3 linked regions of the Pelodiscus sinensis genome follow. The protein of the gene in region 2 interacts with the protein of the main gene of each other region in a pairwise test. Links are inferred from orthologs where the notes say so. Each region holds a gene or a part of one and is shown on either strand. Other genes may lie near its edges.

What was found.
Region 1: the proteins of RBSN (region 2) and EHD3 interact in binary tests that used the Homo sapiens proteins (3 or more experiments, as listed by UniProt). The link is inferred for Pelodiscus sinensis from reciprocal best matches to the Homo sapiens genes RBSN and EHD3.
Region 3: the proteins of RBSN (region 2) and EHD1 interact in binary tests that used the Homo sapiens proteins (3 or more experiments, as listed by UniProt). The link is inferred for Pelodiscus sinensis from reciprocal best matches to the Homo sapiens genes RBSN and EHD1.

Annotation. Positions count from the first base shown.
Region 1 is NC_134713.1:158,568,728-158,578,834, reverse strand, and holds the start of EHD3 (EH domain-containing protein 3), read left to right. Parts: upstream 1-6,155; 5' UTR 6,156-6,409; intron 6,410-10,107. UniProt on the Homo sapiens protein: ATP- and membrane-binding protein that controls membrane reorganization/tubulation upon ATP hydrolysis. In vitro causes tubulation of endocytic membranes. Binding to phosphatidic acid induces its membrane tubulation activity.
Region 2 is NC_134721.1:20,570,586-20,580,190, forward strand, and holds the start of RBSN (rabenosyn-5), read left to right. Parts: upstream 1-5,623; 5' UTR 5,624-5,784; intron 5,785-6,538; exon of another isoform or gene 6,539-6,749; intron 6,750-8,515; 5' UTR 8,516-8,659; coding exon 8,660-8,822; intron 8,823-9,605. UniProt on the Homo sapiens protein: Rab4/Rab5 effector protein acting in early endocytic membrane fusion and membrane trafficking of recycling endosomes. Required for endosome fusion either homotypically or with clathrin coated vesicles.
Region 3 is NC_134721.1:35,024,934-35,034,722, reverse strand, and holds the start of EHD1 (EH domain-containing protein 1), read right to left. Parts: upstream 4,283-9,789; 5' UTR 4,273-4,282; coding exon 4,212-4,272; coding exon of another isoform or gene 4,188-4,211; intron 1,652-4,187; coding exon 1,246-1,651; intron 1-1,245. UniProt on the Homo sapiens protein: ATP- and membrane-binding protein that controls membrane reorganization/tubulation upon ATP hydrolysis. In vitro causes vesiculation of endocytic membranes. Acts in early endocytic membrane fusion and membrane trafficking of recycling endosomes.

The sequences.
Region 1 (10,107 bases), on a different chromosome or scaffold from region 2:
TGAATTAAAGACTTCTCCGTCAGCTTTTGGTGCACATGGAGCTGGCGGCTAACTTAAACCAACTCCAAAAGCAAGGCTGAATGCTAGGGGCAACAATTCACCAATCACTAGCCACTATCATGAAAATACCCGCTAGACTACGGAAAACAGTTATGTTTTCATACTGATGCCAACAGTTGTTTTCCTTACCAGGGGAAACATCCAGCCTAAGGGAATGGGCTTTCCAACCATTAATCATTATGGCTCTTGTGGAAATAGGTATTGTTATTCTGATCATTATGCTCCTCATTTGTATTCACTGGTTTGATTTATCAGGTGAGCCACAATTTGAGAAAACGGTGGGATGTGAGCAAGTTTCACCATGCAATCCCAGGTGTAATGCCAACAAGAAATGGAAACTTAAATGCTGCCCCTCTCAAATTATGAAAATAACTCGTGAAGTTTGGGCTAAAGGGAATGTTTATGAAGGCAGCCATGTTGGATGGGTTGTGAGAGCAAAGGGTCTCCATGATGGAGAAGCTTCTTCTCTCTACCTGTAAGGGAAGGTGGGAAGACAGTGTAAAAAGAAAAGAAAAAAGAAAAAAGAAAAAAAAAAGGGGGGGCTGGCTGTTGTTTAGCAACCAGAGATTACAAACACAGTGTGGCGCAATAGGTAGGAGCTGGCATGCTCTCCTTGCACGCTCTTGGGAGTGGAGGAGGGACCAGGGTCATTAACTCGCTCTCCAATGTTGAGTCATACTCCAGTCAATTGGCCTACCTGACTATTTCTTTGACCACAATGGGAAGATATCAGGGAACCCTCAAGCTTGCTGTTTTGAGGAAAACATGCGTTCATTCACAAATCCTCCAAGTAGTTAGGACTAACTCACCTGCAGGATGACGCAAAGCGGAGAGGGTTGGGTATCAGTTAGGGCACGATACTTTCCTAATAACCCTGGTCAGTGCCTCCTCCTCGTGCGCCAATTCTGTCTCTGCAGCTTGAACCCTGACTTCCTGCCGACACCTGGAGAAAAGTAGGGGAAGCATCTTTCTTCGTCCTCTTTTATTTGTAAAAATGTCTGGTTTGTGTGCTGTAACAGCTGCTCTCCCAGGGTGTATCTAGACTACAGGGTTTTTTCGAAAAAACTGTACCTTCGTCTAGACTACTGCTGCGTTCTGTTGACAGTAAATCAAAGGAACGCGGTGGTTTTGTCAATGGCGGTAAACCTCATTCTACGAGGAATAACGCCTTTTTTCAAAAGTCATCTTTCGAAAAAAGGCACTATTGCATGAAAACAGGGCTTTTTCGAAAGAGAGCATCAAGACTCTCTTTTGAAAAAGCGAGCTGCTTTTTCAAAAAATCGTCTTGTTGTCTAGATGCTCTTTTTCAAAAGAGGCTTTTTCGAAAGATACTGTTTTGAAATAGGCATGTAGTCTAGATGTAACCCCACAGAGTTAATCCTCCCTGTCTCTTCCCTTCCTCCCCTCACTTAGGTCCCTTCCAGTCCTATGATTCTATGAAACCATGATGGACCTGACTGACCTTGGTTTAGCTTGTGAAAAGCAAGACAACCACAAAACCAGACTATGGAGCAAAAGAATCCAGCCACTCAAAAACAGCTGGATAGATATTAGAATGGCTTTGCAGATGTACAGTTCATGAATAGTAGAGACAACCAGTAGAAGAAATTGCACCTTTTTAACCAGAACTATGTTGATTTCTTCAGACTTATCTCATTTAAAAAAATAGAGAAAAAATGCACAAACATTTTTGAAATTGGAAAATTGTGAAAAAAATCAACATGCTGTTTCAAACATTTTCAGTTGAGATGCAAATGCTTTAAAGGTTTTTGTTTTACTTTTACTTCTACACTATCTCAAGTAACTAAGGAAGAAACTGAGGCAAGAAATTTGACCTGCAAAAAATACAATAACAAGGTAATTTTCTGCCACAATGAATATATGTGCAGAACAGGTAATCACCATCGGGATTGTGAACTATCCAACTTCCATGATCCATTTGGAGATCAGCTGGAAGAACTACTTGTTTAAGTAAGTCAGATCATAAAAAGAAATCAACCAGAGATGACAAAATATTTAACCAATGGGGGAAAAACATATTTATTCTAAAATATTTAGTATCTTGGGGTATGTCTACACTACAGCGCTAATTCGAACTAACTTAGTTCGAATTAGTTAATTCGAACTAAGCTAATTCGAACTAACGCATCCAGACTAAAAAACTAGTTCGAATTAGCGTTTTGCTAATTCAAACTAGCATGTCCACATTAAGTGGACCCTGAACCGGGGTTAAGGATGGCCGGAAGAAGTGCCGACAGGGCATCAGATGAGAACTTAGAGCGTGGAGCTGCTGCCTCAGGCTAGCCAAGGGCTGTACTTAAAGGGACCCGACCCCCACCCCCCGGACAGACAGTTCTCAGGGGTGCCCTGCTTGCAAAGCAGTCCTGTCTTGGAGTGCCCTGAGTGCCCACACTGGGCACATCACAGCACTCGGCCATCAGACCGGCTGCACTTGCCGCAGGCTGCCATCTGGGGAGAGCGGGCAATTGGGGGGCTGCAGGAGAGCTTCCACCCCCAGAAGCCCACAAAGCCAGCCCAGTCCTCCCCATCGGGGGCTCATACCCCATTTCTCCCTCACCTCCTTCCACTTACCCTTCCCTAGCCCCCCTTCCTGATGTACAAAATAAAGAAAATGTGTGTTCAAAAATAGAATCTCTCCTTATTGAACAAAACTGGGGGAGACTGGGAAAAGGAGGTGGGAGAGGGGAAGAGAGAGGGTGGGAGAGGGGAGGACAACTAAAATGATCAGAGGTTTGGAACAGGTCCCATATGAAGAGAGGCTAAAGAGACTGGGACTTTTCAGTTTAAAAAAGAGGAGACTGAGGGGGGATAGGATAGAGGTCTATAAAAGCATGAGTAGGGTGGAGAGGGTGCATCAAGAAAAGTTCTTCATTAGTTCCCATAATAGAAGGACTAGAGGACACCAAAGGAAAGGAATGGGTAGCAGGCTTCAAACTAGTAACAGAAAGTTGTTCTTCACAAAGCAAAGAGTCAACCTGTGGAACTCCTTGCTGCAGGAGGCTGTGAAGGCTACAACTAGAACAGAGTTAAAAGAGAAGTGAGATAAAGTGATGGAGGTTGGGTCCATGGAGTGGTATTAGCCAGGGGGTAGGAGTGGTGTCCCTGCCCAAAGTTTGTGGAAGGCTGGAGAGGGATGGCACGAGACAAATGGTTTGGTCACTGTCTTCGGTCCATCCCCTCCAGGGTCCCTAGGGTTGGCCGCTGTCGGCAGACAGGCTACTGGGCTAGATGGACCTTTGGTCTGACCCAGTACGGCCATTGTAAGCTCAGGGCTCAGGGTCGGGGGTCTCAGTGGACCACCTTGATTTTCATGCACACCTGCTCCTGGACGGCAAGGCTGGCAGCTCTCCTGCCCTAGACGGCCACTTTCCTGTGCCTAGTGCGGAGGTCGTGGACGAGGTCCATGATGTCCGCACTAGACCAGGCGGGTGCCCGCCTCTTGCGGTTCTGGGCAAGCTCCCGGGAGCCGCCAGCCTGGTCCCGGGAAGAGGGGGAGGACTGGGGGGCATCGGGTGGCTGGCTCGAGCCGTGCCTGGTGCAGGGTCTGCCAGCTGGGTGCTGGCAGGCTTGCACCTGGCACGGGCATCGTAGCCAGCCCATGCCCCTTTAAGGGGTCCAGGGCCGGGAGGGGGGCAATAGAGTTTCCCTGGTGTTGGCCAGAGTGGCCACCAGGGAAAGCTGGAGAGGGCTAGCCTCCCACTAGTTCAAATTAAGGGGCTACACACCCCTTAATTCGAACTAGTAAATTCAAACTAGGCTTAGTCCTCGTAGAATAAGGTTTACCTAGTTCGAACTAAGCGCTCCGCTAGTTCGAATTAAGTTCGAACTAGCGGAGCACTAGTGTAGCTCCTATCAAAGTTAATTCGAACTAACGTCTGTTAGTTCGAATTAACTTTGTAGTGTAGACATACCCTTAGAGATAATGGAACCATCAAATGTAGCTCTTTTATATTCTTCATGAAAGAATGCTACAACAGAAATAAGTGAATACAAATATAAGGGTGATCTTGGCCTATTGGCTTCAGTGGGACAGAATTTCACTCCAATCTTACAAAATGATCCCACTTTCACAAGAAGTTATCTCTATGAAATCTCTTGTAGTTTCTGTGATTACAATAAACACTAGCACTGGTGGTCATACACTATCATTGCCATTCTAAGGTGACTCTTCACTGGAGACTACTAGAAAAGGAAAACCACATTTAAGAGCCTGAAAACCCTATTATCCCTTACTTGTTCATTCTTATTCAAATGCAAAGACTGTGTTTTGTATCAAATGGCCAACACAGAGGACCACTTTCATCCCAGTCAGTCTTCAGCAGATATAAATTGACTGACTGCCTTTCATGCAGAGTTGGAATTGTTTATGCAAAACAAATTTGGTTGCAAGATTCTTGAATGCAGCTTGAGTTTGGTCGGGGTATTTTCACTATCAAGTGTGTGTTATATGGACCACCCAGCACCAGGTAGAAGGTGCCAGAGCTTCTGACTTGCTGGGAGCTGTTCAAAAATGCCTCCTGACAGCGTTCTTAGTGAAGGATTTAAGGCTTGCCTTCAATACCATGCTACATCTGCCAACATAGCACATTTAGAGAAATGCTCTGTTAATGAAAGAGCGCTCTCCCTTTCCACCAACTTCATACCACACAACAGATATACTAACTCAAGAACCAAACCCTGCAACAAAACCTGTTGCCAACTCCGTCCACACCATCATAGGACCTAACAACAACAGCTATACCAACAGGGGCTCATTCACCTGCATATCTACTAATGTGATATATGCCACCATGTGCCCACAATGCCCCTCTGCCACGTGCCTTGGCCAAACCGGACTGCCCGTATGCAAAAGCATAAATGCACACAAATCAGACATCAAAAACAACTACATTCAAAAACCCATAGGAGAGCACTTTAACCTTTCTCAACACTCAGTAATAGACTTGAAAGTTGCCATACTTGACCAAAATAACTTCAAAAACAGACTGCAGCATGAAAATTCAGAGCTGGAATTCATATGCAAACTTGACATTATTAGGCTGGGGCTAAAAAGAGAATGGTCAGGTGAGCTGACAGCCTCTGTGGGCCTCTGGGCAAGGTGAGAGGTGGGCCAGCTCTGCACTTCTGGAAGAGACGGGGCCTCAAGTGGAAGGGGCGGCGGTAGACGCAGTCAGCCCTGTATGTTTCCTGGAGCATGGAGTACCTCCTCGCAGAGCCATATGAAGAATGCTGCACAGTGTTCCGGCAGTGATTTAAAGAGCCCAGGTCTTCAGCTGCTGCCACAACTACCCTCTTTGTCCCCATCAGCAGGCCTGATTATGGGAGTGGTTAGTTCACTGCAAAAAGTAATTTTCCCTCTTTTGATATTCACACCTTCTCATCAACTGTTGGGAATGGGCTGCATCCACCCTCGCCAAACTGACCTCGTTAGCTGGTCCTCCGCATAGTAATGCTACACTCCCATCTTTGCATGTGTATATATATCCCTGCCACACATCTGATGGTGTGGGCTCCAGCCCATGAAAGCTTATGCCCAAATAAATTTGCTAGACTTTAAGGCACCCCTGAGTCCTCATTGTATTTTGCTGAAACAGACGAATACAGCTATCCCTCTGAAACGTGTCATCTTCCCTCAGTTATCATGACTTCCTAATTCTCACAGAAACAAATGGAGATGACTGGTAATTTGCTTGTCTTTTCTACTTAGATTATGAATGATTCAGGGCAGCGACAGTTGTTAGAGGGTGTGACAGGCTGTCACTGACCCGGGGGCGGGACGGCCGGAGCCCCCGCCGGCAGGGGGCTGGCAGCCAGGTACGGATCCCCCAGTACTTCCCCAACGCGAACCGGAGGGGGCGGTGGACTGGGGCACTACCCCCGCGCCTGTGCCGGCGACGTGAGCACGGCCCGTCCCCCGAGGCCCCGCACGGCGAGGGCGGGGCGGAGGGACACGGCTACCAGGCAGGGCCACACGCCGGGACGTGCCCGGAAGGGGCGGAGCCCTGGGTGGCGGCCGGCGCGGCGGGCCGATTTAAAAGGGCCCGCCGCCAACGGGGCAGGGGGCAAGCTCCTCGCAGCGGCGGAGGGGCGGCCCCTGCCACAGGACGGAGCCCAAGCGCCACGCCGCCCGGCTGTCGGCCCGGCGTTGGTCCCGAGGCCTCCGGGACAGCCACTGCCCCTGGCAATCGGTCAGCCCCTCTTCAGACGGCGGACGGACCCCGCCGTGCCGGACCAGGAGGGAACGGGACAGCCAGGGCCGAACCGGGACCAGAGAACCCGCCCCAGAGACCTCGCTCGGACACCGGACGCCACGGACCGCCGAACCAGGGTAGGTTCAGGGGCACCGGGCGTGATCCGCAGGAGGCACCCGGAGGGAGGAAGGAGCCCGGGGCAGGGCGCTTTTGGCGACCGTGGGTGGACGAGCTTAGGAGGGAGTGAATCCTCCCTTCCCCCATTCACCGCGCCGGGGCACTAGCAAGCCCCGGCGCCCAGGGCCCCGGGCTGGGACCCGGAAAAGGGGCGGGACCGGGTCCCCTTCCCTCCCCTGTAGGAACAACCCACTCCCAACGACCCTAGCAAGGAGAACTACGATGCGGACCCCGCAGAGAGGGGAAACCCCGACCAGGGGCCGGCGCCCCACTCCGCCTGGACGGGTAACTATCATAAGGTTCGCTGACCCCCCCTTTCCCCTGGGAGGGGGTGATCGCACCCAGGACAGGGGCCCCCTAGCAGGGACCCGGGACCCAACAAGGGATCAAGAAGGGGTCAGAGGGTTCGCAGACCCCCCCTCTCCCGCGGAGAGGGGGTGATCGCACCCCCGAACTCCTACAGAGGGCTTATCCCTTCACCCTTCTACTTCCCTGGTCCTTTTAATGTCAACAGAGAACAGCAATACCCAAGACTGGAGATGCAAAAACTTCCATGTTTACTGGGGTTAGCTTTCAGCAAGCATGATTTCAGTTTTCTTTCTTTTTCCCCTTGTTTTTCTCCTCTCTCATTTCCTGTTTGTTCCTAATATATTTAGCAATAATTTCAGGTCTACCTTAACCAATCATTCTACTGAAATTTAACTAACAAATCTTAACATATTGAAATGTGATTATCTAACCAATTATATCCCACCACCTTAGTTGGTTTACACCCAGCAAAATTAATTATTCAGGAGACACAAACAATCAAAGAACCAGTCAGAACCATACAAATAAACAATAGAGAAATGGGAAACATAATAATAAAGCAATACAAATTGCAAATTTTGCAACCCCAAATATTAATAAGTCCTCGCCAAATAGAAAGCTATCAACCCACTGGCTAAAAATGTGCCAAAACTGGTTTCCCAGCTTATGGATGCCTCGGTTTCTTAACCTAAACCAGTTTGAAAATAAGGTCTTAGGCCATCATATACAAATACTGTGATTTTAATTATTTGGTTTTATACCTCTGTAGGAAAACACCTAAATTCTTACAGTATAGGCCGTAAAAGGCAGGCCTGAATATCTATATCCTAACAATAGTCTCTTATGTTTGGATGATTTTAGCAAAGCCAATACAGAAAAAATAATTAACAATAATTCAGACTCTGTAGACATGCCCAGTGTTTGAAGAGGCAATGGAAAATCAGCTCTCTGACTTCTAGAGCAGTGGCTTTCAACCTTTATTTCAACCAAATAAAAGATTTGCAGACCCCCTAAACAATTTTAAATGTTGGTGCAGCCCCTACTGGAAATATTAGCTGTAGTCTGCAGATGCCCATGGGTTCATGGGCCACAGGCTGAAAACTATTGTCCTACTGCAGTGGTCTCCAATCTTTTTAAGCACAAGATCACGTTTTGAATTTTAAATGCAATATAAGATCTACCTCAAACCCAAATACCTTGCCTCACCTACTTCATGTCCCTTCTCTGAGGCCCTGTCCCTGCTCACTCCATCCTCCCTCCCTTCCCCATCTTCCCTCCCTTTCACCAGGCAGAGGCAGCAGGTTGCGGCACAAACTCTGGTCTTGGGCTAAGGGATCTGGAGTGTGAGGGGGCTCTGCGCTGAGTCTGGGGCAGGGAGTTGGGGTGCTGAAGGGAGTTTAGGGTGTAGTCTTTGGGAGGGAGTTTAGGTTCATGACTAGGGCAGGGGTTCAGAGCTGGCTCCAGCTGGACGCTGCTTACCTCAGGTGGCTCCTGGGTGGTGGTGCAGTGGGGCTAAGGCAGGCTTACCGCTGCCCAGCCCTTGCATCACTCCCAAAGGCAGCCAGTAAACTCCCTCCATCCTAAGCTCTGTTGTGCTCCCTAGCTCTGTTCTGTGGAGATAGGATACAGGATGGGAGAAGGGGCACCCTGACAACAGCACTCCTCCTGTCCCTTCCCTGCTCTGTGCCACAAGCAGGAGTCTTGGGGCGGAGGGAGCTTCAAGGCAAAGGGCAGGAGGTGCACAGCAGTGGGGAGAAGGGCAGCTGAAGTGCTAATCTTGATAATAGCCTCTTGGCCAAACTAGTGAAGATCACCTGTCAGAAGCTCCACGATCTACCAGTAGATCCCGATCTACTGGTTGGTGACCACTGTCCTATTGGATAGTACACTGCATAATCACTGGAGCAACAGCAGAACCTCTTCACATTTCTGACCTTTATTCCCAGTTATTCTCACTGAAATAGGAGGTCGCTGTGTATCTGCAGTGTCCGCCATGGAGCAACTTCGGATTTAAACTGGCTTCCGTGAAAGGAGAATCAGGCCACCAAAAATCTGTTGGATTTGTCTTTTCTAATCAAATTTCCATGCTACAGTTGGTGGAAATACAAATGTGACTTTGTGAAGACTGTGCAAAATTAAATCTCTCTTCTATCAAGGTGCACATTTTCTTTCCCTGTCTGAAACAATGTACAACCAAAGAAAAAACTAGATCTTTTGGAACAAATTATTTCTGTTTTCAATACACCAACCTGCAAAGAGTATTCAAGTTCCGGGGGGGGGGGGAAGCGGGGGGAGGAAAAAGCAGAGCTGAACATACATAATATGTTGTGGTGCTTAATACCTTATGCAATATAGCAGGCTTCAACCAGCATGGGACAGATTCTGCCATTATAGTTACTGTTCATTAAAATTAAATGGAATTGTTGACAATAATTATTTGTTACGGAAGTGTGTTGTAAAAGAGAACGTGGCAAATCATATATATAGTAGCCCAGTGTCTGCCCTCTGGGCAGCCCATGATGCATGGGAAGTGCGGGGCCCAAACGGCCACTTGCTCCCCCACGGTGGCCTGGCTGAGCGGCACAGAAGTCAGCCGAGTGCCACGGCGGGAGGCGAAGGGGGGCGGTACGGTGACATGTGGCGTGACAGTGGCTCCAGGCCCCGCCCCCTGGCTCTGAACATCACCACCCCGCCCCCCTTCGCCTCTTACCATGGCGCTCAGCTGACTTCTGTGCTGCTCAGCCAGGCTGCCGCATGGGAGCAAGTGGCGCAAGCAACCATTTGGGCTCCACGTTCCTCATGCAGCACAGGGAGTGTGGAGCCCAAACGGCCGTTTGGGCTCCACAGACCCCCGAGTAAGAGGCAGGAGGGGGAGAAGAAGAGAAAGAGAGAGACAGAGAGAGAAGCAGGAGGCAGAGGAGAGCTGAGAGAGTGAGAGAGAGAGAGAGAGAGAGAGAGTGGGAGGCAGTAGGAGGAGAGAGAGAGACTGGAGGCTCAGGAGAGAAGACCGATGTGGAGGAGAGACCTGAAAATCCCGTCTTATGATGGGCTAATTGGCAAGTATAAAAAGGATAGGATGTAAGCTCACATAAGCTCTCAGCCTGCATACAGATGTCATGGTAATGGCAACATAGGTTTGCCTAAAGAAGAAACAAACACAAATTGTTTGCCAAAATTCAAACTGAATCTTTTCAGTAAAAGTCTGAAAAGTTTGAAAGTTTTCCTTTGCCTGTCATCTTTGCTAGATCTGCACTTTCGAGTCCACCCCTCTTGCCACTAAAGTCAATGGGAACTCTATCACTAATATAAATGAAACCAGGAGCAGCTTGTGCCCAATTCCAGACAGGGC
Region 2 (9,605 bases):
CTCACTGTATCTGCTGCCCAGACAGTTACTCTCCATTAGTGGCTAGTAGGATAACCCAGGCCCACCCATCACTCCAGATTCTAGTCCAGGGAGCCTAGCACACTGTCAAGCTCTGCTCAGTCCCTAGTCCTGCTGCTTCCTGTTTACCTCTGATAAGCTTTCTTCTCCACCTTTCTCTTTGGGTATGCCCTTCCCCCAGAGCCAGGTCCCCAGCCTCTAACTCTTTCCCTGGATTTCCTCTAATGCACAAAAGATGGCTACAGACTTTCTTGATAGCAAGTTAGAAAAATGGTCAGAGGTAAACAGGATGAAGTTTAATAAAGAGAAATGCAAAGTGCTCCACATAGGAAGGAACAATCAGTTCCATACATACAAGATGGGAAGCGACTGTCTAGGAAGGAGCATGGCGGAAAAGGATCTAGGGGTCATAGTGGACCACAAGTTGAATATGAGTCAACAGTGTGATGCTGCTGCAAAAAAAGCAAATATGATTCTAGGTTGTATCAACAGGTGTGTTGTAAGCAAAACTCATGAAGTCATTCTGCCTCTCTACTCTGCACTAGTTAGGCCTCAGCTGGAGTACTGGGTCCAGTTCTGGGTGCCACATTTCAGGAAAGATGTGGAGAAATTGGAAAGGGTACAGAGAAGAGCGACAAGAATGATTAAAGGTCTAGAGAACATGACCTATGAAGCCAGGCTTCATGAACTGGGCTTGTTTAGTTTGGAAAAAAGAAGATTAAGGGGGGACATGATAGCGGTTTTCAAGTATCTAAAAGGGTGTCACAAGGAGGAAGGAGAAAATTTGTTCCTCTTGGTTTCTGAGGACAGGACAAGGAGTAATGGGCTTAAAGTGCAGCAGGGGAGGTTTAGATTGGACATTAGGAAAAAATTCCTAACTGTCAGGGTGGTCAAATATTGGAATAAATTGCCAAGGGAGGTGGTGGAATCTCCCTCTCTGGAGATATTTAAGAACAGGTTAGATAGACATCTGTCAGGGATGGTGTAGACGGAGCTTGGTCCTGCCTTGAGGGCGGGGGGCTGGACTCGATGACCTCTTGAGGTCCCTTCCAGTCCTATGATTCTATGATTCTATTATTGATGCAATCCCCTTTCTGCTGTAAACTTACTACTTTCATACCAGTCCCAGGTGTTACTCCCCAGCTGGGCTCCATCTCCAATCAGTCCTCCAGTTGCTGGCTCTTTCCCAGGGACAGCCCATCACAGTGTCTTGCCAACTCAAGGAAATGCATGGTCCCTGCCCCAGAGAGGTTACAATCTAATGTCCACACACTGTAAATTGATCAGTATAGGCCAGTGGTCTCCAACCTTTTTAAGCACAAGATCACTTTTTGAATTTAAGTCAGTCCAGGATCTACCTCAAACCCAAATACCCCTGCTCCACCCCTTTGCTGAGGACCTGCGCTCCTCACTCTATGAATATGGGGTACAGGGGAGGGGGACAGAGTGACATCAATGCCCCCTGCCTCTCTTGCCCCCACCCTGCATAACAAGCAGGAAGCTCCCGGGGCAACTCTGAGGCTCTGGGCAGTAGCAGCTGGGCAGTGGTAGGAGGGACAGCTGAAGTGCCAGCGCTTGATAGTCTCCCAGCCAAACCAGTCAGGATCACCTGTCAGAGGCTCTAAGATCTACTGGTAGATCCCGATCTACTGGTTGGTGACCACTGGTATAGGCTGACCCCTGCCAGGCAGAACAAGTCACAGGACTAAGGCCTTAGAGCTCAACTCTGCAAATACTTAGGCTGATGACTAATGTGCCTCCTTGGCAGAGAAAGATGCTAACTAGAGATGTGAGACAAGTGAGGTCAGTAGACAAATGTCATGGAAAGGGGAGGTGGGAAAGAGGTTACAGTAATAAAATCAGATGTTTACTCATCTAGGCTGCTCCTAAAACTGGATCTGCAAAAGCAAAATCCCATTGACTTCAATGAGATACACATAGATGCAGGGGTCCACCAGCATAAAAGCTATTGGGGATGTAAGGGATGCACACATCTTGATGTCTCTATCAAATTCGTAATTAAAATATGTAAATTGTATTTATTTGCCACAAGACTGAAAGATGCTAGAGAGTATTTCGTATAATATAATAGTGGTACAACAAGTAAGCTAGTTAAAGAGTTCTCCAGATTGATCCAATTTTCATCTCTTACTTTCTTTTCTCTTACATATGCTCCCTAGACACCTAGGTGGAGTGCCTTAAAAGTGCCTAGATAAATAGAAAAGCCACAACATAGGATCAAAACAGATACGCAGTGAAGTTGGATATCATCTAAATTTAGAAAAAAACAACAAATGGTCCGGTAGCATTTTATAGACTAACGAAACATGTAGACGGTATCATGAGCTTTCGTGGGCACAGCCCACTTCATCAGATGACCGGAGTTATACTTAGTCAACTGTCATGTCTTGCTTTATTAGCTTGCTTTATTAGTGCAGCAATTTACTGTACAGTTTCATTCTTTTCCAGTCCATGTGAACAGAGTTCTGTATTAAAATACTTAGCAAGGACTCTATTTGTAAAAAAAAAACCCACATTTTTTAAATTCTTTTAAAAGAACTGTTCAGGTTCTTAAGAATTTTTGGATCAATATGCCCTCTTAGCTGATTTTTAAACGGGTATTTGATTTTTTAAGGTAACAGTTTATTATATACAATAAAATTTGTTAATAACATGGGGGAGCAGTCTCTGACTGGGGCAATTTTTTTAACAGCACCATAAAAATCTCTCCTCTGCTTTTCAGAGCAAATGGGTTTTGAGCCTGCACTTTCCATGCTAAGCAGGAAAGTGATCATAACTGGGATTTGCATTCATTTTCACAGCTGTTTGATTTTCTTTACATAATTGAACCAAGAGTATATTGTTTTGAAAAGTGGGGAGTAATGGATACAAATAAGAAAATGGGTGTTTAAAATTAAATGAGTTTGTTTATTTATAACACTATTATTCCTGTGACTAAATCAGATCAGTTCTGAGCCTTTTAATTTCCCTTCAGGTTTTTGTAAAATTATAGTTGTCCAACAGCAGAATGGGGTAAACTCAATAATATGAAAGATGCTCCTCTGCCATTTGTACTGATTTTGGGGCCCTATGTGGGCAACAATTTGAAAACACACTCCACACACCTTTCCTTCCCAGCTTCCTTTGAAACATTCATTGGAAAGGGGGAAGGAGACAGTCAGAATGAGATGGTATCTGCCACAAGGGCAAAATATTCAGCCCCTAAACCTGCAGATGGTTTGAGATCTGAGTGTCCCAGAGTAACTGTCATTACCACATGTATCTCACTGTCTGGTCAATTCCCATGGTCACAAACATACATCAGATTATTCTTTCACCAAAGTGCATATTTAGGCTTTTCTTATAATTTCTTGTTGTAATGCAGTCACCCATTACCAAGATAGTTCCCCAATTATCACCTCTAATACCATTAACTCACAAACATCCCACTCTCCCTACCTCTAATATCATCAATTCACAGACACTTACCTTCCTTCCTCCCCCCCCCACCCCGCATCCCCCTCCTGTTCTGCAATGTGATTTGTCCTTTTCATATTTGTTCATTTTTTTTAATTGTATCCTTTGGTATATATGGTTGTGACTACTTTCTTCCACTATTTGATCTGAGGAAGTGGGTCTGGCCCACGAAAGCTCATCATCTAATAAACCATCTTGTTAGTCTTTAAAGTGCTACATTGTCCTGCATTTTGCTTCAGTAAATAAGCACTTCTCTTTTACCTCCAAAACATCCCCTTGCTGCCTGTTTCTATTTATATCTTCCCAACTACCTCATTAGCCTCCCTGCCCAGCGTTTTTTGCTCTATATGCCTGGTTGGGCACCTATCATGGACCTGCCTCTCCTGGTACCACATCTTTGCAAGGTAACACATGGGGAAAGGGTGGGTTATGTAGGTTTACCCCCCATCCCACCTCAGTTTTCTGACAGGGTTCACATCAGAACATGACCCGCAGCATCCTTTTGGCACTATGCAGGAAAGGAAGGGATGGAAGCTGCTTTCAGCTACAGGGGAGGAGGAGGTGGGGAAGGGATGACCTGGCTCATGTCTTTACAGCACTCATCTCTTACTCCTCCAGCCAAGACCACCTCCCAAAAACCTCCTGTGGCTGAAAGCAGCTCCCCTCTCTTCCTGATGATACAGTGTGAAAAGGCAGCTAACCCCTCCAGCATGGATGGTGGATGAACTCCTGGCTTGGGGAGACAGCCCTCAGCTCCACCTCTTCCACCCAAAGCCCTGCCCCTTCCATACCCAATGGCCCCAACCCCTCCTCCCATTGTGGCTGCTGGCCTTGGAGCCCAGGGTTGCCAGGCAGCACAGCCCCAGACCCCCAGCTCCAGAGTGCTGGAGAGCCAGGTGAGCAGCACAACCTCAGACTCCCTGGGCTGCAATGCAGTGCCTGGTTGCTCCCCCTGCCCATGAAGTCCCTCCCCACCCAAGCCGTCAGCCCCAGCACTGCGCAGGCAGTGGACCCAAGGGCACATGCACCACAGTCCCAATCTGCCTGCCCTCACCTCAGGGAACAGGCAGGAGAGCCTAAAGGTAGAGCATGACCTGATGATGCCACAGACAACCCAGTCACCTCTTGTTCCCTGGCTACAGTGAGGGCAAGAAGGAGTTAAGCCTGAAGGCTCTATTGTCTACTTCAGGGATCAGGGAACTGGATTGCAGGGGCTTCAGCGTACCCAAGTGACTCGGAAAGGGGGAGCTAGTGGACAGAGCACCCCGGGCTCCCTTGGGACAGGATGGAATGTGGGGGGAGAGGGGCAGGTGAAAGGAGGGTGCTAAGCACCTGCCTGAGGGGCTGCTGTGGAGCCTGCCTATTTGAGGAGCAAGCAGGATGGAAATCGCTTTCCCACTACGACTCTAGAGCTTAGCTGAGAGGTGGACAGGATCCTCCAGATCCTCCATGTCAGGGCTGTGTGTGGATTTGGCACATGTAGGGCTTGACTTCTCCTGCCCAGTGCCCAGGGGGGAGGGTTCTGGGCTTTTGGGGGGCACCGGCTCCCAGCCAGAGGCAGTGAGAGGGAGGAAGAAGCCTCCAGCCAGGCTCTTGGTGAGCTGAGCCCTCTGACCAAGGGCTGGTTCTGTGCACAGTGGGAGCGGGACGTGCCCTGCCAGGGGAGATACAGACGAGTAGTGGGATGGGAGAGACAGGTGAAGGGGCAAAGCAGTGAGACTACAGCAATGTTCCCGACTTGCTGCCTACACCGTTCTGCTTACAGCCCCAGCACCGTGTGTGATTCCAGGAGAATCTCCGCTTTCATTTAAATGGTTGCAGAGAAAAGCGGAGCCCGTAACTGGAGCGTACCCCGCTAGCAGGGAAACCCGAAAGCAACGGCGCCTGCCCCACGCCAGACCCCCATGATTGCTGGGGCTGGCAACCCTGGAGATAGGGCCTGACAATGCAGCTTCCATAGAGCTCACAGCCCCCACTCCCTAGCCTGCCCCTGCTCAGAGCCCACGAGCCGCCCTGGCCTCTCCTTGTCCTTGGCCCCTCCCCTTTCCCAGCCTTTGCCCCGGCGATCTTCTAAACCCTCCCTTTCCCAGCAGCCACTGCTCCTCGATCCGTGGACTCGACGCTCGGCAGTGGCGCCTCGGTCAAGCCCCGCCCCTCCCTGCTGTCCCGGATGAGCCTGCCCATCTCCTCCCATCGCTAGCTCGGCGCTCGGCCTGGGCTCTAGCCCTTAGCGCAGCTGGGCCGGGCCCGCGGCCCGGAGCCGCCGCCTCGCCTCGCCTGGGAGCCGAGGTGAGACCCGCCCCGGGGTGGGCTCGGAATCCGGCCCGCGGGCCTGCGCTCCGCTCCTCGGTTGGGGCGCGCCCCTGGGTCCGCAGGGCGGGGGGATTCCTCTCCTCTCGCGCGGGACAGGGCGGGGCCCTTGTGGGGAGTAAAGGCGGCCCGGCCCTGGAGCGCGGGACCCTCCCCCTTCTGGCAGGGGCAGCCCCCCCCCGTCGCAGTGGGGTCGGGGGCGCCGCGGTCCTGATGTTGTTGCCAGAGCTCGGCGGGGCGGGGCGGGGCCGAGCCCGCTCCCCGGGGCGGGGCGGGGCTCGCAGGCGGCCACACGTTGCTGGCAGAGCTCCCCGGGCGCGTTTCGTAACGGTCGGGGTGTCCCGTGGGCACTTGGACCCTCCCCCATCCAGTTGGGCGTGGCTGGACTGCAGCGCGTCCCCCTCGGTGCTCCCGCCACAGCGCCCCTCTCAGAGCGTCACCTCCGTGGGGCGGGTGGAGGCACCTGTCGCAGGATTTCCATGCTGAATAGTCTCCCAAGTGCTTCCTAGGAAGCCACTTCGGTGGGTGAAACGTCCCGAACACCTCTTGCAAGTTCCCACGCTCCCCCGAGGTTGACATTAGTCTCTAGGACAGTGTTTCTCAACTCTTTTGCTTTTTATGAAGTGCCCCCTTTAAAAAAAAATTATAAGTACCCCCAGTACCTACCGTTTCAGAGGCAACATTTTTTTCTACCCTTGCAATACATTTGTTTCAACAACTTAAATGTAGCCGGGCAGGCGATGAAATTTTTGGGTGTAAGAAGTACACAAATAATAAAGTGGTGTAAAATTTAAAACAAAATTCAGTTTTCTCCAAATTTCAGTTGTGTTGCCGTACCCTGCAGACTTCTCAGACTTCTCTCGAGTACCCCTAAGGCAGGCATGTCCAAAGTCCGGCCCGCGGGCCAATTGCGGCCCGTGTTCCGGTTTAATACGGCCCCACAGGTAATTTGGCAATATCTATCTTTTAAGGCCCCCAACGAATCCATATGTATTGAGATGAATACATTGTAAAATCTCAGTTAATGTCAGTTGGTCTAAATCAGTTATAAATATATTTGGACACAACATGTATACTTGGTGTTATGTTCCTGTTCATATTTTTTGAACTTAAAAGTTGACAGACAACCTTTATTACCAATAATATGTAATGTACTTTACAATGTTCCTGACATATATTTCAGCTTCCTGGATTTTTTTTTCATTTGGACTTCAGATATGAAAGGCAGAGTGATTTAACACCTGTTTAGATTTGTGATCCATGTGATGAAATGAAAAGTATGCCGTTTGCAATAAACTTTGCATAAAATAGTTAATTTGCATTTAATTTTAATGGTTCAAAGAATGTCAGGCAAAATGGTCGGCCCTCACGCATGTTCACTTCATGAAATCTGGCCCTCTTTGAAAAAAGTTTGGACTCCCCTGCCCTAAGGGAACTCATACCAGTGGTTCAGAAACACTGCTATAAAAAATGAACATACAATCCTACAGTAACGCACCCAATAGTTGTATTTTTAGTACAGTGGAGCCCAAAGATCAGTATGGTTTAACTTCATTCATGAAGGTTTATCCTGGACATTCGAGGAAATTGCCCTCTAAAGTATTTACCTGGAATGACCCAAGTATTTTGAGTCAGACTGACCATTTTTATTTACATTTTATTTTCTTTAGCTTTCTTTGTCATTTGTCATATAAGTTTTCTTCCCTAGCAAAGGATCTTATGAGAAACTTGTGTTTTACACCCTCTAAGAGAAGTTAAGGGGCTGGGGTATAAAAGGAAGGGTCCACTGAATACTTGAGGGTCTCATGCAATATGTGATATGAGGTGAAGTATGATTTAGTCTAGAGGTCCCAGACTAAATCATGAGTATGTATGTGTACCTCTGCGGGTATACGGAAGTCTTCTAGGCTAGGGCATACATCAACTCATTTAGATATTTACATAGTTTAACAAGGTACATAAAAAACATTAGCAAAGTCTGTACAAACTAAAATTTTATACAGTGACTTGTTTACATGGTTCTATAAGCTATATGCCAAAATGTAAGTACAATATTTATAGTTCAGTTGATTTATTTTATAATTATATGGTAAAAATGAGAAAGTAAGCAATTTTTCAGTAATACAGGTTGAACTGCTCTAGTCCGGCTCATTCTGGTCCAGCAACATCCATGGTCCAGCAAGATTTTATTTAGCCAGATGTCCATTTACTATGGGTGTGGCCAAGTTTCCTGCAGTCCCATGAAGTGTGTTAAAGCCCTCATTCTTGGCTCTAGTGTTCTGTGCTGTTGTTTAATTTATCCCTGAATGTCTTCCAAGAGCCCAGTAAACAGTGGAAGTATTGGTAATACTGTTAGACAGTATTGACCTCCTGTGGTTCAGAAAAACCTCTGGTTTGGCACTGGTCAGATCCCCAGGGTACCAGACTAGAGAGGTTCAACCTGTAGTGTGTTGTGGCACTTTTGTATTTTTGTGTCTGGTTTTGTGTCTGGTTTTGTAAGTCCAGAGATTTTAAGTGAGGTGAAACTTGGGGGTAAGGTTCAGAGTCTTGAATGGGTTATAGTAGTCTGAAAAGGTGAGAGCCACTGCTTTAGTTTCTTCAGTTGTCTGTGGAGCAGTGTTCTAGGAAGTAACTGGATCATTAAAAGATCAGATAGCTACTGAGTTAAACTGTTCATCCTGTTTAAAACTGCACTGTGCATCTTTTTCAGATTGCTGTTTTGCACAAGCTGCAAGGAAGAATGCCACTTGCTCTTTGTTAATTCATCAGACATAATGCTACAGAACAGCATATTGCTGTTCCACTGCTGCTAAGTTTTGGAGGACAACAGTATACCACAAGTGCACAAAGCATCATGGCATCAGGCTACCCTCCTCCATTTGATGACTCTGTGGAAGTGAGAGAGGGTTTTCTCTGTCCCCTGTGCCTGAAGGATCTGCAGTCTTTCTATCAGCTTCAGTCTCATTATGAAGAAGAACACTCAAGTGAGGACAGAGATGTCAAAGGACAGCTCAGAAGTAAGAATCATGACAACAGTTTTAACTTCTGCTGTGTAAAATTATGTACAGTGAAATACAGCCGCTCTCTGAGTTACGAACCAACACTTGGTCCGTAACTTGAACTGTTCGTAACTCAGATCCCATAGAGTTACATGGTGACCATGCTGTTTGTAAGCGCAGATCGCCGTTCGTAACTCGGATCAGCATTTATAACCGCTTTGGTCGTAAGTGCGGATGGTCATAAGTGGAGGTGGCCGTAAGTCGGGGAGCGGCTGTATGTTTGTTGCACTACAGATTCCTAAGAGCATCTCAGCTATAAGTCTCACTTCACTAAAATATTGATTAAAATGAGTTAGAAGTGGGGTTGGTTAATGTGTAAATGGATTTAGGCCAAAGAATTTTTGTACAGTTTCCAACAGAAAGTTTCAATAATGTTTTCTAACTTGGTTTCCTAATTTTAGGCAACTAAATAAGCGGCTTGATTTTCAGATACCTACTTTTAAGCGCCCAAGTTAGAAAATGCAGGTGCTTCACTTTTGTGAGAGTTCTCAGTACATGAAGGATTTATATTATTAGAATTAATAACAGTTATGCTTGCAGTTTCCGTGGACACGATCTCAAAAAATAAATTATGGATTTGTCATTGGAATTGAAGGTGGATAACTTGCACATAATTAAAAGTGGGGTGTGAAATTGACAAGAGCCTTGGCTATATTTATAGTGGATTTAATAATGCTGTTTAGGTAATCTATTTTTGTGATAATAAAAGATTCTTCTTAGCTTTTTGTTCATATACACTTC
Region 3 (9,789 bases), about 14 Mb from region 2:
AGGGTGCCCTCAGCATTTATTTAGCATGCCCCCAGTAGATCTTCCAATATTTGACTTAGCAGATTGACCTTGGCAGCTCCCATCTTCCTGGTAATGTAGATATGCCCTTAGCACAGCCTCTGCCTACAGCAGGCCAGGGTACCCCATAGGCAGCAGCTGCTCCATCAGCGACATGGGAACAATCCCTACTTGAGGCACCCATGGTCAGGAGCTGCTTTTGACCAGGATGCTGGAGCTATCTTTAACTGATTAGAGAATGGGATTTTACATTACAGTGCCTTCTCATAAAAACCAGAGGCTGTGCACCAGCCAGGAACCAGGGATGTAGGGCACTCTCCTGCCATGTAATAGAGCCATCTTCTTCTGTTTCCAAGAGTTCCTGAACCCCCTTCCAGCTATCAAGTACAGGGCCAGATAACTGGGCTCCCAGTTGTAGAGGGAAGCTGCCCTATTAAGATTTTTAAATGAATTATGCACCCTTTTAGAGTTACTAGCCTCTTTGGTATCAAGGAATGGAGTTTTAGAAGTTTAAGTTAACTTGCTTAATGTTACTTTATTTTTCCCCCATTACAGCTTGGGCAAATACAGAGTCAGTTAATATTTGTGGAGGGTCAGTTCCTGTGACAGTTGCTTATGGCCTGTCTCAAACCCAACACATAGCTGGAGGCACCAGGATGGTTTGTTAGGTACAGCCCAGCATTAAATGCACAATGGCAGTTCCTCAATCCTATCTAAGAGTAGAACCCCAGTGATCATGTCTTTTAGCTACTGGACGTCCAAAGTCATGCCTCCAGAGAGGGGGCACTACCTCGAAGTTAGTACAGGGACCCACATGAAGAAAGTTGACAAGAGTCTGGGGGCTGCCAGAAGAATTAGCAGGCTCCCTTGCACCCAGGCCCGCTCTTAGGGCATCCACATTAGGGTCCCACCGCTTGACGGCACTAAACTGGGGTGCCACGCGATGCCCCCCACAAACCCAGACTCCCCTATTGAAGAACGCACTGAGGCAGCGGCTGCAGGTAGGAGGGGCACCGCAAGACTCCTCGCCCCCAGCCCCTCACCTGGGGAGGGCGAGAAGATAAGGGGGCCATGCGTGGCAAAGGCAAATCCAGCCTCGCACCACTCCCCCCCCCCCCCCCCCGTGAGGAAGGCTGAGCCCCTCCCACAGCCACAGGGCGAGGAACCGCGGGACACCAGGCACGGCCCCAGCCACAGAGGGCGCCGCTCGGCCCACGCGCCGCTCACCTGTTGAGAAAAGCGTTGCCGAAGGCGTTGAGCTTGCGGAAGGGCCGGCGCGGGTCGACCACCAGGGCGTTGCCCGGGACGATGCCCTCGGTCTCGCCCCCCATGACGGCGATGAAGGAGTCGGTGGTGGGCTCGGGCCCGATGCGCATGCCCGGGAAGTCCTGCTCGATGAGGTGCCGGATGAAGGTGGTCTTGCCCGTGCTGTACTGCCCCACCAGCAGCACCATGGGCTTGTTCTCCCAGTCGGCCGGCTCCAGCGCCGGGGAGTGGAAGTCGTGGAAGCGGTAGTGCTCCTCCAGGGGCAGCAGCTTGGTGGCGTAGAGCTGCTTCAGCCCCTCCGAGACCGTGCGGAACAGCTCCGGCTCCTTGCGCCGCCGCGCGTCCTTGCTCACCCAGCTGAACATGGCTGCGGGGAGGGGGTGCGTTACAAGTGGGGACGGGGGCGCTACAGCGAGGGGTAGCTGAGCGGGCCGGCAACACCCACCTCTCAGCCGCTTGCCACGGAATGCAACGCCCCCCCCTTCGCCCTAGAGCCTGTTTTTATATGAATAGGTCGTCCCTCGGCCACGCCCCCACAAAGCTGATTGGTGCCCGCCACTGCGACCGCGGCGGCCCACCTATCCTTCCCGCTACGGAGGCGGAAGTAGCTCTAAATTCTTTCGTCTCCGTCCTGAGCCTCACCTAGCCGCCATGATAGTTATGGAGGCGGAAGTAGCTCACAATACATCTCCTGCCCGCTCCTCACTAGCCACCATGACAGTTAATGAGGCAAAGGAGACTCAACCATTAGCGAAATAGCCGGATCCTGTCGTGTTCAGAGCCCGCGGGGGTCCGATCAAAGCCACATTGACAACAGGGGTCGATGTCTCCACCCACTGTGCCTCACCACTACCCTGACTCCCCAATACCATTGTCACTGAATCAAAAACTCCTCACACTATCCACCAACCCCAACACTGCCCATCAAATCAATTCCCAGTAGGCTTGCCAGATGGTTTCACAAAAAATACCGAACCCCACCCTCCTTTCCAAAAAAACTGCAGGGAAAAAATTCTGTTAAAAAAAAAAAAGCCACGTGAAAGGTTATTGAGGGGGAAAAAAAACGGGACCAGGAATTTTACTAGACAGAAGGCACAAATACCGGGCTGTCCAGTTCAATACCGGACACCAAAAAACCCTAATTCCCAGCCCAACACTGCTTACAGAAATGAGGGTTGCCAGCCTCCCAGGATTGTCCTGGAATCAAAAATTAATTATGTTGTGTATGAAAACCTTCAGGAATGTGTCCAGTCAAAACTGGCAACCCTATACCAAAATCAATGTGCCAACCTCACATGCCGATGCTGCCCCTCTAAATCAACCCCCCAGCACTGCCCACCAAAATCAAACTTGGGGCAGCAAGTATTGTAGGCAGGGGGAGGCTGAGCCTTCCCAAACAGCCTGGTGTGCCCTGCCCATGCTTCACTCCCAGCCTTCTTGCTCTTCTAGCAGATCAGGTGGGATGGTGTGGGGGTCAAACAACCTGCTGCACGGATTTGGCCAGTCTTGGGCTGGTGCCCTTCTTGGCACAGCAGTGGAGGTGCTGCAGTGGCACCTCGTTCTCCAGAGTCAGGGGCTCTACAACTACAGCACCCACCCCATCCCGCACTCTGGCCCTGAGGTTAGGGGCTCTGTGGCTGTGGGGCCTGCCCCATGCTGTGGGACTGGAGTCTGGAGCTCTGCAGAGCCCACTCCGTGCTCTGGGAATGGTTGGGGGTGCTGCAGACTCCACGCTCCTTGCCTGCCACATGTTCTGTGCTCCTTGCTTGCTACATGCTCTTGGATGAGGAGGGGATGCTGACCTGGGGAGAGGAAAGCCAGCAGCAGCGGAGGACTCTTGCCTCCAGCAGGGGACAGAAGTGGGGGGGAGCTGGCGGATAGGGAGGAGTCTAGCCTCCCCTAACTGCCAGTCTACTCACCACCACCTATGCAAACACCTGACACTGACCACCAAAATCAACTCCCAAAGTCTATGATGTTGCACAAAAGAGCCAACCCCAAACCCAAATCAACTGACACTGTCCACTGAAATCAACTTGCCTACTCCAATGCCCACCAAAATCAACCCCCAACTCTGGAACACAGCCCACCAAAATCAATCTCTAATCCTGTGACACAACCCACTGAAATTAACCTCCCAACACTAATCACCAAAATCAACTCCCCAATCCTGCCACTGAAATCAAATCCCAACTCTTAACAGTGTCCACTGAAACGACCCATCAGCCTCCTGACTCTATCTCTGTAAGCCCTCTCCACAAGCACCCTCAATACCATTCCCCCAACATTGGCCTCCCAGCCCCTGTCATTCAAATCCACCCAACATACCCCCAAATCCTCCAGAAACCATCCTTCCCAATCCCAGACCTTTTGACGCTATTCCTCTCAGTCACCCTCTGATTCTGCTGGATGCTGCTGCCCCAAATCATCCCCTAAACCACCTGACATCCTCCCATCAAATCCCCTGACATCATCATCTTCTTGACCAGCTAAGCTATCTGGCTATTTGATCCATGGGTCTGATCTCGGGCTGCTGGGAAAAGTGATGGTGGAATACTGGGTAAGCTTACCCCAGTGGGGTGAACTTAGGTGACAAGAAAGAGGGATATCAGACTACATGGGCCTATTGGTTTGATACAGTTTGGTGGGAAGGGAATAATACTGTACTGATCTTGTGGTGTTTCTAAGAAACAGGGAAGAGACGATGAGTGGAGAGAAAGATTAGAGACTCTTAGGTTCCTATTCTAGCTTTTGAGGAGTTTCCCTGCCTGGGAGTGATTCGCGCCCTCCCCCCAGACACTACCATGTTTCCTCCTGGAGAATCCATGCTGGATTTCCATCCATCCATTTTCCTCTTTATCACTGCCTCTGTCTATAGCTCCCTTAAATATATATACACACACACAGTGAGATGGCCTGACCCTCACCGGAGCTGCCCTCCTCCATTTCAGCCCCTTTGGCCACTCCTTTCACCTCCCTCTGCATCATTTAACAGCTCAGCTAGAACCCTGCTTTGTCAATGGGTTCTAGCATCACAGATGAAGTCAGCAAAGTTCTGGAATGAATCACTGTTACGTAAAGGCTTGCTGCTATGCCCCATCACCCAGCTCCTTTCAGCTCCTTCTCCCGGGGCAATTCTGCTCATGATGGCAGGTATCAATGGCAGCCTGGTTAAAGCCACTGGCCATGTGAACTACCTTTCTTTCAGGAAAAATGGAAAGAGCAATCAAGTCCTTTTATGGAGCAGGAGAGCTGGAGACAACAGAAACCACCCAAGGCAATCAGCTGTATGGCAAAACTTGAGATTGGTTGACCCATGTTGGGTGTGAGGTTTCCCTGAGACTGACTGCAAATGCAGGGGCTGGGAGGTTGCTTAGCAAGCTGAGCCTGTGATCAGGAGAGAAAGGCAGCCAGCACACAGCAGGAGCATCAGAGAGACAGAGCTCCTAGGGCTGGCTGGAGAGGCAGGCCTGGAAACTGAGAGAAGGAACACGGCTGGTTGTTTGTTCCTGCTGTGATCAGGGACACAGGACTATATGGACATTCTTTGCAAATAAACAAGATTTCACCAGAGAATACTCCTTAACTTACTCCTTAACCCCCTTCACATACTCCTCCTCTCAGAAACAGCCTGGCAAGACCCACATGTTGGCCAACTCCTTATTCCAAAGGGGCAGCAGGTCAAGTAGAGTGTGATCAAGTGCCCACTGAAGCCACTGAAGAGAGTCCCATTAAGTTGCTGGGAATCGTCAGTCAACATGTGTGGACCAAACCTTTAGTTCATCTTTTGAGGACCGCTTACATAGTTACTCCACACAAGCATTTAACTTCATAAATGGCACTCGCACAAAAATGAGGAAGCTAATTAATGGAAATTAAAAGGTATAGTCACAAAAGTGAAATGCCTGCAAGCTTCATGGAAACTTTTTAAAAACACCATAATGGAGGCTGAAATTGAATGTATAATCCAGATTTAAAAGCATAGTACGAGGACCAAAAAATGCCACTGTGGCTAAACAACAAGGCATCCTTAAAAATTGGAAGTTAAGGCCTACTGAGGAATATAGAAAGAAGCATACATTCTGGCAAGTCAAATATAAGTATAATTACGTAGGCCAACAAAGAATTTGAAGATGAACTAGCAAACGACTGGAAAACTGACATCACAAGCAGGATGCCTGCCAAACATTCAGTGGGGCCACTGGATGATCATTGTGCCAAAGGAGCACTGAAGGAAGATAAGGCTATTGTGGAAGAACTAAATGAATTCTTTGCATCAATCTTCATTGCAGAGGATTCAAGGGAGATTTCCACACCTGAGCCTTTCTTTTTAGATGGCAAATCTGAGAAATGGTTCCAGATTGATGTGTCAGTAGGGGAGGAGTTGGAACAAATTGACAAATTAAACAGTAATGAAACCAGGACCAGATGGTATTTACCCAACAGTTCAAATTTGAAACCGTAGTAGCCTATCACTTACATGGGAAACTGAGAGTAGCTAATGTGCCACCAATTTTTAAAAAGAATTTTAACAAGCTCCAGAGGCAATACTGGCAATTACAGTAAGCCTAATGTCAGTACCAGGCAAACTAGTTGAACCATAGTAAAGAACAGAATTATCAGACACACAGATGAACATGATTTGTTTGTTGGGGAACAGTCCACATGGCTTTTGTTTAGGGTAGTCGTGCTGCGCCAATCTATTAGCAAGCTTTGAGAGATCAACATGTGGACAAGGCAAGGTGGACAATGCAGATAGTGTATTCAGACTTTCCGAAAACTTTTAACAAGGTCCCTCACCAAAGGCTTTTAAGCAAAGTAAGCTGTCATGGAGTAAAAGAGGAGGCCTTTCATGGATCAATAACTAGTTTATGGGTATGTCTACACTACCCCGCTAGTTCGAACTAGCGGGGTAATGTATGCATACCGAACTTGCTAATGAAGCCCGGGATTTGAATTTCCCGGGCTTCATTAGCATAAAGCCGGCGCCGCCATTTTTAAAAGCCGGCTAGTGCGAACCCCGTGCCGCGCGGCTACACGCGGCACGGGCTAGATAGTTCGAACTACGTAGCCATTCCGAACTATCTGTACTCCTCGTTCCACGTGGAACGAGGAGTACAGATAGTTCGGAATGGCTACGTAGTTCGAACTATCTAGCCCGTGCCGCGTGTAGCCGCGCGGCACGGGGTTCGCACTAGCCGGCTTTTAAAAATGGCGGCGCCGGCTTTATGCTAATGAAGCCCGGGAAATTCAAATCCCGGGCTTCATTAGCAAGTTCGGTATGCATACATTACCCCGCTAGTTCGAACTAGCGGGGTAGTGTAGACATACCCTAAGATAGGAAACAAAGGTTAGGAAATGGTCACTTTTCAAAATGGAGAGCAGTAAACAGTTATGTCGCCTAAGGATCTGTATTAGGACCTGTGCTATTCATAGTGCTCTGGAAATGGGGTAAACAGTGAGGCAACAAAACTGGGCAACACGTTGGCAGATTAACTTCACATTGGAGAACATAATCCCAACTATACATACACAATGACGGGATGGAAATGAGCTGTTACCACTAGGAAATAGAACTCGGAGTCACTATGGACAGTTCTCTGAAAAGATCTGTTCAATGCATAGCAGTCAAAAAAGCAAAAAGAATGTGAGGAACTATATAAAGCAGAGAATATCATAACGTCACTAAATAAATGCATGGTATGGCCACACCTGGAATACCGTTCTGATTGTCCCATCCCTAAAAAGATATATTAGAATTGGAAAAGGTACACAGAAGGGCAACAAAAATGAATAGGGGAATAAGGGATGGAGCAGCTTCAGGATAAGGAGAGATTAATGAGTGGGAATTTTCAGCTTGGAAAAGAGATGACTAAGGGAAAATATGATATAGCTCTATAAAATGTCTCTGACTGCCAGAAGCTGGGACTGGATGACATGGGATGGATCACTCTGCAATTGTCCTGTTCATTCTCTCTGAAGCATCTGGTACTGGCACTATCCAAAAGGATATTGGACTAGATGGGCCATCGGTCTGACCCCATATGGCCATTCTCATGTGCTTGCATAGCCATGTGACTGCAGTATCTAACAATCTTGACACTGTGGCTACGTCTAGACTGCAAGCCTCTTTCAAAAACGAGCGTCTAGACTACAATCAGTACTGTCAAAAAAGCAGCCACCGTGGATGAGGTGGGACCCAGAGCTCTGAGCTGCCAGGGGCACTGGGGACACACCAGAGCAATCATCTGCAGTGGCAGTAGGTGCTGAACCCTCCCACAATAGATTGTGGGGTTTCAAACCCCCACCAGTCCCATTCTGTCAAGAGCATTCTTAGTAAAGTAAGGGGTAGGCCATAGGCTTCCATGAATTTTTGTCTATTGCCTGGGACCTTTCCCTGACTTACTAAAAACTACGGGGCTGCATCCCTTGCTCACTGCGCTCACCAACCGCCCTCTCATGGGCTGCTTTCACAGCCAGAGAGCCTGTCAATCTTGCACTGAGCCCAGCTGCACTCTCCATGGCCCCAAGTCACTCACACCTGTCTCTGCTCCCACTCCACCACACCCCTTGACAGGCCCCTATATCTGAATGCTCTCAGACATCCCACTGGCTCGTGCCCTTCAATTGCCAGCCATTCCCCGCCCCACCCTCCACAACCTTCCTATTCCTGCCCCACCCACCAATAAAATATTCGCATGCAGAATTCGGAGCCTCTCCTGGCGGCTAGCATGGGTCTATGCAAAAGTGACCTGTCAGGAAGTGTTGTGCTCTGTGGGCTCGTGGGCCTCACATGTAAATGAAAACCAAACGCAATTAGTAAAATGGGGCCCAACTCCAAACAAATCCCTTTCGTTCCAGGTGCTCCTGGACACCTGGCTCACTAGCGATGGGCAGGGGCTGGGTTACATGCAAGCAGCCAGATAGAGAGGGAATTACCCATTTTCCGCATCCTGTTACTGCCCGTCTTTGCAGGACGGCAGCGCTCCAGATGTGTAGTGCTCCATGGCTCCCCCATGGTTCCATGTCTCTCCATTGCGCCCTTTCTGCATGGAGCATGTACCAGCCCCGCAGCAGGAGCGCACGTGCCAGCAGGAAGGGCACAATGAAGAGACATGGAACCATGGGGAAGCCCCCATCGTTACATGCCTGCAATCTACTGAGAACCAGGACACAGGGGAAGAGAGCCTGGTGGGGTAATCTGGGTCACCAGTCCTTATCTCAGGGTTCCCTGGCCCACTGCCCAACCCCTCCTTCCATCCCTACCCCCACCTCCATTCCTATACCCACCCATCCTTCCCTAACCCCTCCCCACCTCCACACTGCCCATCTCCCTGCCTCCATTCCTATATCCCCCTCACCCCATCCATCCCCTCTTACCCCACCACCCATCCCCACATATACCCTATTCCCCTTCCTCCCTTCCTACACACACCCTGCACTCTCCCACAAATTCACTGAGCTGCGTGCCCCTCTCCCTCAGGAGCACCATCAGGCTGGGCAGCACAGCCCTGGCCACCGCAGCAGAGCCACAGCCCATCCCCAGCTCAGCCTTTCTGAAAGGGTCTGTTGGGGCAGCTTTGCTCCATGGCGAGCCCAGGGAGCCTGGAGTGCAGAGTGGCCGCTCCGGAGAACCAGGGAAGCAGCCGGGTGCAGTGTAACCAAGCCATCCCCAAAGGGCCATGTGTGCGGTGTTGTCAAGACCAGCCCAGCTCATGGCAGGCCCAGGACAGCGCGCATGAGCCAGGGGCCTGGCCCCAGGTCACCGGCACATGCGGGAGCCACTCGCTCAGGGGAAGACCGGTGGCACAGCCCCCAAGCGCTGTGGCTAGGCCCAGGCTACACAGAGCAAAGCTGCACTGCAGGCGCATGGGCTAGGCAGGCTGGGGGCAGGCCTCAGAGGGAGGTGGATGCTGCTCCAGGGGGTGCAAAGGGATGGAGCCGCCGCCCCCACCATTTCATGGAGCGGTCATGTGGTCAGGGCTCCTGGGGCAGGGCCAGCGGGGAGGCTGTGCGGTTGAGTGCGGAGGGCGGGCAGCGGGACGCAGAGTGGCATGATGACATCACTCTGTCATCCCGCAGGAATTTTTTTTAGAGAGAGAGAGAGAGAGAGATAACCATGATAAAATCTTAACCTTATCACTGAAAAAGGCACCAAGGGCACCAACTCTGAATAAATCTCAGCTGGCCCCACCTCAGGAGCAGGGCCAGATTCTGACACTCGGAGGCCCTAAGCTATGTCACATGTGAGAGGCCTCATATCATAAAAAAATATTATTTTCATAAAAAGGACATTGACTCCATAAACACAAAAGCTTTTTGTTCTCACAGGAAAACAGGAGAGGCTATGACATTCTTTTTACACCACGAATAAGGAAAATTCTTTTTTGTATAGAATAAATGAACAAAACAGTTGATTAATTCTGTTAGGGAAATACAACGTTTCTGCAGACTCCATATAAAGTAGATTTACAAATGTTTATTTCAATTTAATTTTTGCTACAA